Linked DNA regions of Arabidopsis thaliana. The protein of the gene in region 2 interacts with the protein of the main gene of each other region in a pairwise test. Each region holds a gene or a part of one and is shown on either strand. Other genes may lie near its edges.

The links. Proteins that work in one complex are often made in the same cells at the same time.
Region 1: the proteins of PP2A-2 (region 2) and TAP46 interact in a two-hybrid assay, tested with the Arabidopsis thaliana proteins (one study listed by BioGRID).

Annotation. Positions count from the first base shown.
Region 1 is NC_003076.8:21,484,326-21,489,997, reverse strand, and holds TAP46 (2A phosphatase associated protein of 46 kD), read left to right. Parts: upstream 1-1,955; 5' UTR 1,956-2,128; coding exon 2,129-2,224; intron 2,225-2,367; coding exon 2,368-2,490; intron 2,491-2,781; coding exon 2,782-2,868; intron 2,869-2,987; coding exon 2,988-3,092; intron 3,093-3,198; coding exon 3,199-3,360; intron 3,361-3,443; coding exon 3,444-3,479; intron 3,480-3,563; coding exon 3,564-3,635; intron 3,636-3,727; coding exon 3,728-4,008; intron 4,009-4,088; coding exon 4,089-4,344; 3' UTR 4,345-4,681; downstream 4,682-5,672. Other genes in the region: AT5G53010 (calcium-transporting ATPase), read left to right, coding at 1-41, 246-291, 486-614, 693-794, 884-960, 1,048-1,099; AT5G52990 (SNARE-like superfamily protein), read right to left, coding at 4,992-5,672. UniProt on the Arabidopsis thaliana protein: Involved in the positive regulation of the TOR signaling pathway. Acts as a negative regulator of PP2A catalytic activity. Plays a positive role in the ABA-regulated inhibition of germination, probably throught its interaction with ABI5.
Region 2 is NC_003070.9:3,427,592-3,432,873, reverse strand, and holds PP2A-2 (protein phosphatase 2A-2), read left to right. Parts: upstream 1-1,949; 5' UTR 1,950-1,973; intron 1,974-2,237; exon of another isoform or gene 2,238-2,273; 5' UTR 2,274-2,436; coding exon 2,437-2,689; intron 2,690-3,045; coding exon 3,046-3,160; intron 3,161-3,279; coding exon 3,280-3,388; intron 3,389-3,467; coding exon 3,468-3,545; intron 3,546-3,729; coding exon 3,730-3,921; intron 3,922-3,995; coding exon 3,996-4,169; 3' UTR 4,170-4,396; downstream 4,397-5,282. Other genes in the region: SNL6 (paired amphipathic helix Sin3-like protein), read right to left, coding at 1-95, 211-333, 488-714. UniProt on the Arabidopsis thaliana protein: Dephosphorylates and activates the actin-depolymerizing factor ADF1, which, in turn, regulates actin cytoskeleton remodeling and is involved in the blue light photoreceptor PHOT2-mediated chloroplast avoidance movements.

The DNA.
Region 1 (5,672 bases), on a different chromosome or scaffold from region 2:
TCTGATCACCACCTAATGGGAAAGCCACCGGTTGGTATAAGGTACAAATTCTGAATAGGATCAAGGATAAGATTTGATTATTAAGTCAATATAGAGTTGGCTTAGAAAGAGACATTAATGTATTGATGCTGAAGGTTTTGAAGAAACTGTTGGTTTTGCAATTCTTGTTAAAACACACTATCTGTTCTAGGTGAATATACACAAACTGATAGTACATATGCATGTGTACATTTTTTGTTTTTCAGAGATCCTCTTATAACCAAGACGATGTGGTCCAAGATGATAATTCAGGTATGTAGGGTAAAATCCTCGATTGATCATGTGTGGACGTTAATGTCAGATTAAGTATTTCACACCTTCATAGTTTCCAAGGAGCAAATACAATTCCTTGGTGATATTAAACTAATTAATTATTTAGATTAGAGACAAACACACTGGTTTGGAGACCTCTAATAATGCTTGTGTCATGAAATACCTTCCTCCAGGTATTTTACCTAGTGCTCTCGCTGGTACTCATAAATTCTGAGAAGCTACTGAAGCTGAAGCATGGTCAGACGGGCAATGCCGAAAAAATGATGAACACATTGATATTCAATTCCTTTGTCTTCTACCTGGTAATATCTGATTTTTTCCCACTCTTCTAATTAGAGTTCATATGTTGATCATCTCTCTATCTTTCTAAAATAACGCAGGTTTTTAATGAGTTTGAAATCCAAAGTGTAGACCAAACCTTCAAAGAAGTCCTTAGAGAGAATATGTTTCTCGTTACAATAACCTCAACTATCATATCTCAGGTAAGTCCTCTTTACAAGTGAACACAACATTTGTCTTTTCTTATATATCCCTAAACCATATATACTCTCTTTCTGTTCTTTCATATCAGATAATCGTGATCAAGTTCGCAGGCATTTTCATTGACTTGAAAAAATGGGTGACGACAAGTCTTTTGGGGTTACTCAGGTTCTGCTCATAAACATCCTCAACTACTTTCTTTAATTTTTTACTCTTCACATTTTTTCTCAATACGTAAATTTAACCTTTTTTCAGCCAAGTCGCCACTCGCTACCCTTACCCAGCCATCCAATATCATCGTAACTGAGATTTCTCTTGCCGTATGGCTCAATTCTCGTAAGAAGTAAGAACCATTCACTCCCAAAGTCTCCTAATGAATCGCATATGACTATCTTATTTTAGATCTGGCAAGTAGTTTCTCTCAACTTGCAGTTCTCATCTCAGGTCAACTTTTGAAGCATCCCTCTAGCTTTGGTCGCTTAGGAGGCTGTTGTTCTCTGCGCGGGTGTGCGTGAGAGATTAAATAATGCGGATTATTGTGCTGTGTATATAGCATACTACAGTTTATTCAGTCAATTCATTTTCCTCTTGAAGATATGTCGAGTGAAATGCGTGAAAGTCAAACATTTAAGTTCTGTATCCATTTCCCTTTCAAGCTATGTAGACTGTAATGGGTGACAGTCATATATAGTATATATAGTAAGCTCTGTTCAATCAATGCACCTCTTCGTTTTCGATTCATGAATTGTTTGTTGGATGTTCCTAAATCTTTGGATCCAGCTGATTCACCGCGATTGAGGTGGCTTTAGTTATCGGTATCCACCATTCCTTACTGCTATAGGTCGATCGAATCAATAACACTACGACAATTCGGGCTGCTTAGACAGCGGGTGCGATACTAGTTTATTCATACTCCTACTCGTACAAAAATCAAGAAAATTTCATCTCCATTCAAATTAAGAAAAAAAACAGTAAACATTCATATACCATAGCCACAATCACATTCGTGGCGGTTTTACACTACACCCGCCGCACCTGATCTTTGACTTGATATTTTTATACAACTGAGTCGGTTTTTGACTTTTGAGGTTGTGGACAGATCTAACGGCTAATAGAATTCGAGTTATCTACTTCACCTGACGCGGCAAAATCTCAACCGTCCCTTATAAAGCTCTTCGCGGTTAACATTTTCTCTCCTCTGTCTGTGTGTACTCGTGGTAAATTAGTCAGATTTCGATTTGGAACCCTAAAAAAATTCAAAAGACGATCCTCTTCTCGAAGAAACTCGATTCTTGTGGATTCGATTTCATTAAGGAATTTTGAATTGTTGCCTGTGATGGGTGGTTTGGCTATGGAGGAAATGCCTTTATCGGTGCTATTCGAGCAAGCTAGGAAAATTCATCTTGCTGCTTCAGAGTCTGGTGTTGATCAGGTGGAAGCTTCTACCTCTTTTTTATATACAGATTCGATTAGGGTGTTTATCTGAAATGGGTATTTCGAATCCGAATCGCGAGTTTTTACTGAATTGGACATTTCCGGGGATGCTTAGTTCATTCTTTTCCTTTGGTTTGTTAGGATGTTGTGAAGAAAGGATGTGAGATGTTTCAGAAGTGCGAAGATATGATCGGGAAGCTGGCGCTGTTTTCGTCTAACGAGACTAAAGAAGATATTAGCACCAACAATCTCAAATATCTTTTGGTATGCAATTGAGTCTCTGTTGTTTGGATTTTTGTAATTTGTTTGTATTCTAGTTTTGTTATTAGTTTTGGTGTGGAAAGATCTGAAAGTGAAAAACTTTAGCTTGTCCTGATGCTTCTAGTTTTAGCTACTGACTGAAATTCAAAATGGAGTCTGAGATTTTGGATTGTAACGTTTTCCATTGAACTTACTCTGTGTGGAGACCATAAGATTGTGTTGAGATCATAAGATTGTGTTGCGAGTTGACATTTCTATAAAGTGACGAGGGATTATATTGTCTTGTGATTATAGGTGCCTTATTATCTTGCGGAGTTGACAGAGAAAATCATACAGGAGGACCGGATTCAGATTGTCAAAGCCTCGTATGCTAAGTTGAAGGTTAGTTTTCTGCTGAGTGTTTACATGTTTTTGTATCCCTTTGATGCTATTGCAAGTGGGAATGAGCATTTGGTTGGATTTTTTTTGAGATTGATGTATAGTTTTGTTATTGTGTCTAGGAGTTCTTTTCGTTCTGTGAGGCAATGGAGCTTGTTCCGGATGAGGAGTTGGAGGCTTCTTCACGAGGAGGTTCTGGTGCACCTGCTGATCGAAGGGCTCTCAAGGTAGATTCAGCCCTGTTTCTTTTGTTTATGTTCTGACGAGAATGAAGTTTAAAGTTTTCGGATTTTGAAATGCGTGTTGTGTCTTCATGATTATGGTACTTTGTAGATAGCTCGGTTCAAACGTCAAAAGGCTGCAGAGGCAAAGCTTCTTGAAATTAAAGAGAGGAAGGAGCGACGTGGACGTTCCACTAAAGCATCAGCTTTGTCGACTCCGGTTGAATCTGGAGAAGATGATATTCCAGATGATGACAGCGAAGAAGAGAGAGAGGTTTGTCCCACTTTTTGTTTTGCTGCTTTCTCTAATTCGATTTTTTCTTCTAAGCTTTCTTGTCTTATTGCTTTCCTCTGCAGGCCTGGCTCTCCTCAATTAACTTGGCTATTTGTAAGGTTTGTCTAAAAATCATTTCATTAGAACCCTATGATTTGTCACAAGTTGAGGAGGCATTATCTTATGATTGAACTTCGTTACAGGCTATTGATCTGTTGGAAATGCTAAAGAGAGAAGAGGAAATGCTCTCTGCAATAAAGGAAAGACAGTTGAAGGTAGCTTACCGTGGTGTTAGTTTTTTTAGGTGCGAACAAAACTATTTGATAAACATATAAAAGAAGAAAACGTGTTATGATATTTTGATCAGGATGGAGAGGGTGGATTTTCTCGGGATGCTCTTGATGATCGTACAAAGAAAGCTGAAACCTGGCACAGAGACGCTGCTGCAAGGATACAGTACTCTAAACCGGCACAACCAATCACTTGTGCCACATTTGCACAAGATGTGTTAGAAGGAAGAGCTTCGGTATCACAAGGTCACGAACACAAGAACCAACCTCTTATATTCGGTCCAGCAAGCATCGTGGGTGGACCGCTCTCTACCGAGAGAGAAAGAATGATAGCTCAGGTCTTCCAACCAAGTCACAGGTAGACACAAAATATTGCTCATTACAAAATCTTAATCCTTTTTGAGATTTAAAAATGGTGATTAAACTTGGGTTTTGTAGGATGCCAACAATGTGCATAGAGGATGCTGGGTTAACAGAGATGAACATAATGAATGATTGGCAAGAGCAGACGAAAAAAGCCATTGAAGAAGCAACCACCTCATGGTACAATGATAAACCTCTAAGAAGAAAAGAAGAAGACGAGGAAGATGATGATGAAGACGAAGAAGCTGTGATGAAAGCTAGAGCTTTCGATGATTGGAAGGATGATAATCCTCGCGGTGCAGGTAACAAGAAACTCACACCTTGTGGCTGAGACTAGAGACCGAGACACACATTATTTAACACTTTCTCCCTCTCTTTTGTTTCTTATTTCCAAAACCTCTTCGTTCACTTATTATAATGTCTGTAATGTAATCATCTTTCTACTCTTAAGCCTTAGACTTACAGATTTTGGATTCACGGATTCACTTTCATTTTCGTTGGGAATATTATTTTTAAATACGCCGACTACTAAAGATACAATGTATATATCTAGTAAAATACTAACGTGTGACTGGATCTGAGACCATCTTTTGTTGTCCTCTATTATTGTGTAACCCACGTTCAATCACAGCACCATTTATGGAATCAAACAACAAAAGAGAAGCGAGAAAAAAAAAAGAGATAATAACAACACACATTTTGCTTGTGAATGATTTAACTTCCAAAGTACAATTAACAACATCATTAACATGTAAACCAGGATTCAATCTATACCCTAGTTTTCCTCCTGGAAACAACACTTTTTGCGACTTTAAAAATCAAAGAAGATGAAAAAAGTTGACAAGAACAGAGAGATAACAAAAGGGATCAGATTTGATCCAAAAAAACGGATACCCAGAAAAAAGATGTCAAATGATCAAATTTTGATGCAGATTCAAAGAATATGAATTTGGAGATGTACACAGATGATGATAACTTTTACCCTTGAATGCATTGAAACCCTTCACAAATCCAAAGCCAAATTCCAAACAAAACAGCACAGATGCAGAAATCAAACATCAACACAACCCAAACATGTTTCTTCCAAATCTGTTTCGCCTTTTGTCTATGATGATGATCACTCAACAAACCATTTCTCAGTTCCTTGCGTAAGACTCCATTATTACCATTCCCACATAAATCAACATTCTTCTCTGATATCTCCTGAATCGAACCAACCTCACAAGAATCTCCCCCTTTTGCTTCATTATGCAATCTCTTCTTCTTCTTCAACGCCTTCAATGGTTTCCCCAAAAGTGGCATCAAAGCAGCTCTTCTTCCTTTAGATGAATCAATACTCGGATTTCGACTCTCTCTCGCTACACTCCTCGGTGATCCAACCAAATCCATATCCAATAATTCCAAATCAACAACACCAACAATCTCAGCGAAAACTGGATCAAGCTTCAATTGAAGACAATGAGAAACAGGATTAATCAGCGTCTCAACATCAGATCCACCGTCTTTAATCAGATCTTCAATAGCTGATCTCAAACGATTCAAAACCCAGAATGATTCAGGTTTCTCCATGGATTCATCAGAAATCGAGAAATAAACAAAGGAATCATCGTCGATTGCGAATGTATACGTCTTCTTGTGAACTGTATGAGAAAACATTGA
Region 2 (5,282 bases):
ACCCTTTGGGCAAGAAAGTATTAAAACCCAAAAGTAGGTCCCTGTAACCCTTGAACAACACTTTAATCCTTTCTATGACACCATTAGTGTCGATTCTGCAACCAAGATAAGACACCATGAGTATACGCAGTTCACAATGTGACATCCACAATACAACACATAAGAAAGGCAAAATGAAACTAAACAAGAAGAGAAGCGAAGTAAAAATACGTCTGAGCTTTGAACTCCTTCATGAGCTCCAGGAATGACTCATATTTCTCTTTATTGTCGTGAAAAATATCCTTCACAGCTTTGAGATACGTTAGGGCATCGATGGTTCGAGGTAGCTTGTTTCTGCATAGCACAAACACATGTAACTTTCAAATACTCTTACACATTTCAATTGCATCAAACTACATTGAAGAATATAACTTGTGGACTACCGAACAAATGTAAAATTGAAAAGAACAAACAATAAAAAATTGGGTTTATCGAGTAAGAGAGTTACGTTTCTCCTCGAGACGAAACTTCAGGCTTTCGCTTTTGAGTGTCAGTGTGAACATCTTCTCTAGCTCTCTTCATCTTCAGTCTTCTTCCACTTTCTCCCGCAGACTGATTTCTGGAAGAACAAAAAAAAGAGGCTTTTAAGAAGCCAAACCAAACTAAGAACCGTGGAAATAGTCCAAGCCAAGAGAAATAGCTCGGAATCGTTGTCCCAAGTAATAGATCTCTCATCGGAAAATCTTAAGAGAAATCACAAAAAACGAGGAAAAATTCTGAGCAAGAGATTTTGATTTAAAACCTTTGTAGACCGGATCACGTTACTCAAACGGTGAAGAGAGCTTCTTCGTTCCTTTGTTAGAAGATGAAACTCGGAAAGAAGTCGGAGGATCGGTGGAAACGTTGGCCGCCGGAGTTTTAAAGTAGAGAGATTTAGACGGAAACTTGGCAAAATGAAAAGCAAAAGAAGCTTCCTTTTGGTAGAAAATAGATGATTCAATGGTGAGATTGCTTCTGATTAGGAGCAATCTCTCTGTCTCTCTATGTGTCTCCCTCTCTCGCTGATTTTGGAAGCGGAGGAGGGAAGAGGGTAAGGCAACGGAACGAGGAAGAAGAAGAAAAAGAGAGGAGCTTGTTTTGCTTATATACCCAAAGAAATCTTCATGTCTGTATGTAATCAGAACCTTCGGAGCTAAATGGAAGGTTACGTACGAAATTGGTTTATTTTTCAATTCCAAATCAAACTTACCGGTTTAATATTATGTAAATCAAAAACCAAGTAAAAAGCAGAGTTAGGGTTTTTTTTCTTTCAACTTTCATTACCTATGCGTAAGTGAGGATTTGATTTAAGGTTATAAAAACGAAACATAATATTCCAGTCTATTCAAACTAAATCTGGTTTATTAATATTCGTTTGTAGTAAGTAAAGTATAATATCCTAATTTTACCTAAAAAGCTCGGTCACATTTTCTTACAAGTGGGAAGAATATGCAAGGGAAAAATGTTTGGTCTATGAATTTTCATACTGTGTTAGATGATAAACTTTAATTAGGTTTGATTTGCATCAATTTAATAGCAAAATTAATGGTTCAAAATGTTTTCTAAATATAAATATGTATTGTCAGAGCTATCATCAATGGGCGTTTGGTCTAGTGGTATGATTCTCGCTTAGGGTGCGAGAGGTCCCGAGTTCAATTCTCGGAACGCCCCTTCTTTTATTTTTGTTACCATGGGCCGCTCTACCAGATTCTCCAGGCCCATTTGTTCGACGAGGAACTTGCCTCATAGTCGACGATCATGTCAACATTAAAAACTTAAAAGCAAATTTGTCAAATCTAAAACATAATATGAAAACATTAGTTGACTAATTATAATTACCGGATGAGAGGAGGAGATGATTTGTCCATATATACTTATCGTTTAGACAAGTTCAAATGACAATAGCTCTGCTCCAACTACCCACGTGTAACGGTTCACAATTCAAATCCGATCCGGTTTGGTCTCAATTCTCTCTTTTTTTTTTCATTTTTTTTTTTGATAATTTGACCGAAAACAACTAGAATTAAGTTGAAAACACCAACGAATTTAACAGAAGAAAAAACAACTAAAACTCAAAATTTTATTTTGAACCAAAGAAAAAAAACAATCATAAGTTTTATAACAATTGGCGAGACTAATAAAATTAACACAAAACCGAACCTTAACCGGGTCATAAAACATTTATACTTTGTCTATTTGGACACGACCCACTTTTAGTCTTTAAAAAAAAAAAACGAATATCCATTTTTTCTCAGCCAGGTGAGAGAGAGAGACATCGAACTATCGAAGACCAGAGAAGCTAGGAGGATTTGATCTCTCCGATTCGGATATCTTAGCTCTGGCCGATAGATTCTCCGGCGATTCATCTTCTTTATCCGCCGTAATTTTCGTATATAGGATCGGTGGTGGCTTTTCAAGATGCCGTCGAACGGAGATCTGGACCGTCAGATCGAGCAGCTGATGGAGTGTAAACCGTTATCGGAGGCGGATGTGAGGACGCTTTGCGATCAAGCGAGAGCGATCCTTGTCGAGGAATATAATGTTCAGCCGGTGAAGTGTCCTGTTACCGTTTGCGGCGATATTCACGGCCAGTTTTATGACCTTATTGAGCTCTTTCGTATCGGTGGCAACGCTCCTGATACTAACTACCTCTTCATGGGAGACTATGTAGGTCTGTCTTTCTTCTTCTTTCGATTTTATTTTTGGGGTTTTTACTTTTTTTTCTCATTTTAGATCTGTGTTTTTGGATCATTCCAAAATGGTGAATTCTTGGAAAAGTATCCACCTTTTTATTTATCTAGAGTGAGTTACTTGTGGGTTCTGTTTTTTTTTGGAATGGTAGGTACTGAAACTTCCCAATATAGAGACTTGTTGATGCTCACTTTCATTATTGCACTTCCCTTGAATTCTAGTCTTTAGATCCTTGGAACTTTAACCATTCGTTGGTGTACCATAAGATGGTGACAGCTAGATTTAGTTTAAAAGGAGTGTTGTTGGTTTCTCATTGTCTTGCTTTGTTCTTTGCAGATCGTGGCTACTATTCAGTAGAGACAGTTTCTCTATTGGTGGCACTAAAAGTGCGATACAGGGATAGACTTACAATCTTACGAGGGAATCACGAGAGTCGGCAGATTACTCAAGTGTAAGCTTTTGTTTTGAAATAAGCTTATATTTGAGCGAATCGTACTTTTCTTCATTGGTTTCTGGCTGATCAGCAAAGTACTATCCTGTTTTGATGCATGTTTTGCTTCTCTGTTTCAGCTATGGTTTTTATGACGAATGCTTGAGGAAGTACGGAAATGCTAACGTCTGGAAGTATTTTACAGACCTTTTCGATTATCTTCCTCTTACCGCCCTCATAGAGAGTCAGGTTAGAGCTGTTCTTTCTCAGTTGGTGTTTGATACATCTTTTTCTAAGTACAGCTTTTTGACTTCATCAAATTTTGTAGGTTTTCTGTTTGCATGGAGGGCTTTCACCTTCTCTGGATACTCTTGATAATATCCGAAGCTTGGATCGGATACAGGAGGTAACCTTCTTGTTCTCTGCTAAAGGCCTTAGTGTGGACTTAGTTGGAAGAGTTATGAGTCCTTCCTGGGTCTCAGTGTCTTGTCTCTACTTAAGATACAATTACAAAGAGCACAAACGTTTGGAATTTTTTATGACATCTTATTGTTCAGCTCTTTGAACTATGTATGATGTGTGATCTGTAGGTTCCACACGAAGGACCTATGTGTGATTTATTATGGTCTGATCCTGATGATCGATGTGGATGGGGAATATCTCCACGAGGTGCTGGTTATACATTTGGACAGGATATCGCAGCTCAATTTAATCACAACAATGGACTAAGTCTCATATCAAGAGCGCATCAACTTGTCATGGAAGGTTTTAACTGGTGTCAGGTATGAACATTCTTACGGCATGATTAGTCTCTCTCTCAGATTGAATCGTTGATCTCTCCTTTGTATGGTAACAGGATAAGAATGTGGTGACTGTGTTTAGTGCACCAAACTATTGCTACCGGTGTGGAAACATGGCTGCCATTCTAGAGATAGGAGAGAACATGGAGCAAAACTTCCTCCAGTTCGATCCAGCTCCTCGACAAGTTGAACCTGATACTACTCGGAAGACCCCTGATTATTTTTTGTGATTTCTCTGTTTTTTTTTGTGGTCCCGACCATATATAATTTTTTGAAGTTCCAGTTTTATTGCCTATGTATCATTGTAGATGTGCCCTTTTCTCTTCTTTTTTCTAAGTGGAGTTCGAATTTCCCCTAGAAAAAAAGAAACACATCATTTTTTTCTGTTGTTGAGGTGATTGCTATAAAAAAGTTTGTAGGAGAGGCTTCTATATCTATAAAATTGAGCGTTTGTCTTCTCATTTGTGCCTAAATACCCCAGAATAAAGACTTTGAAAACTAAATGCATTACAAACAAAGACGCCAAACCGAAGATTTCTACATATTTCCAATACTGGCCTAACAAAACTTCCAGTATGGTGTGACAGCCTAAATGTACAACACAACTCATATCTATTTTCTGCTTCTCCTTTCAATTCTTCTTTGATGCTTTGGCTCGTGACCTCATGCTGGCTCTTCTAGCCACATCCCACGCTTTCTGTGGTGCGTATATACCCAGTTGAGAAGCAAAGAACGGTTCATAACCAGGTGAGTCGAAGGCAAAACGAATGTGCTTTGAGATTTCCCGAGGCAATTGGGATATCGCATAGCTTCTCGCTTCTTCTGGTGTGAGCTCATTCGTTATCTCCAGTTGATCTGCATTGCTACTATCCGCCTTATGCATGTGAATCTCTTGAACTATCTGGTGTGAGCTCATTTGTTATCTTCAGTTGATCTCCAAGTACCTTATGTTTTTTTAATGAGTTGCATCTGTGTGACTCTGGAAGAACCATATGAAAGGTAAACTGTGTAGGGATGAAATAGTATAGAGATTTTTGGCCAAAAAGTCTACTGTATATATAAGATTACCGTTTATACTATTTTAATAATGTAATAGCTGAAAATAAAAATATAGTCAGCTATATTATGAAGTTTAGATAGATATTTGGAAATAGTGTTTCTCTCTTTTTATAAAAATATATTTTAATAAAATATATTTTAAATCTGCCACTGGTAATGAATTATGATAGTTACGATAAGTTGGATTTATGTTCTCCATTGGCTAATGAATAGTATATGTTTATTTACTGGGCCCATATAGAATAAATTAAACTAACCTGGGCCTGGGCTATTTTTCTTTTTTT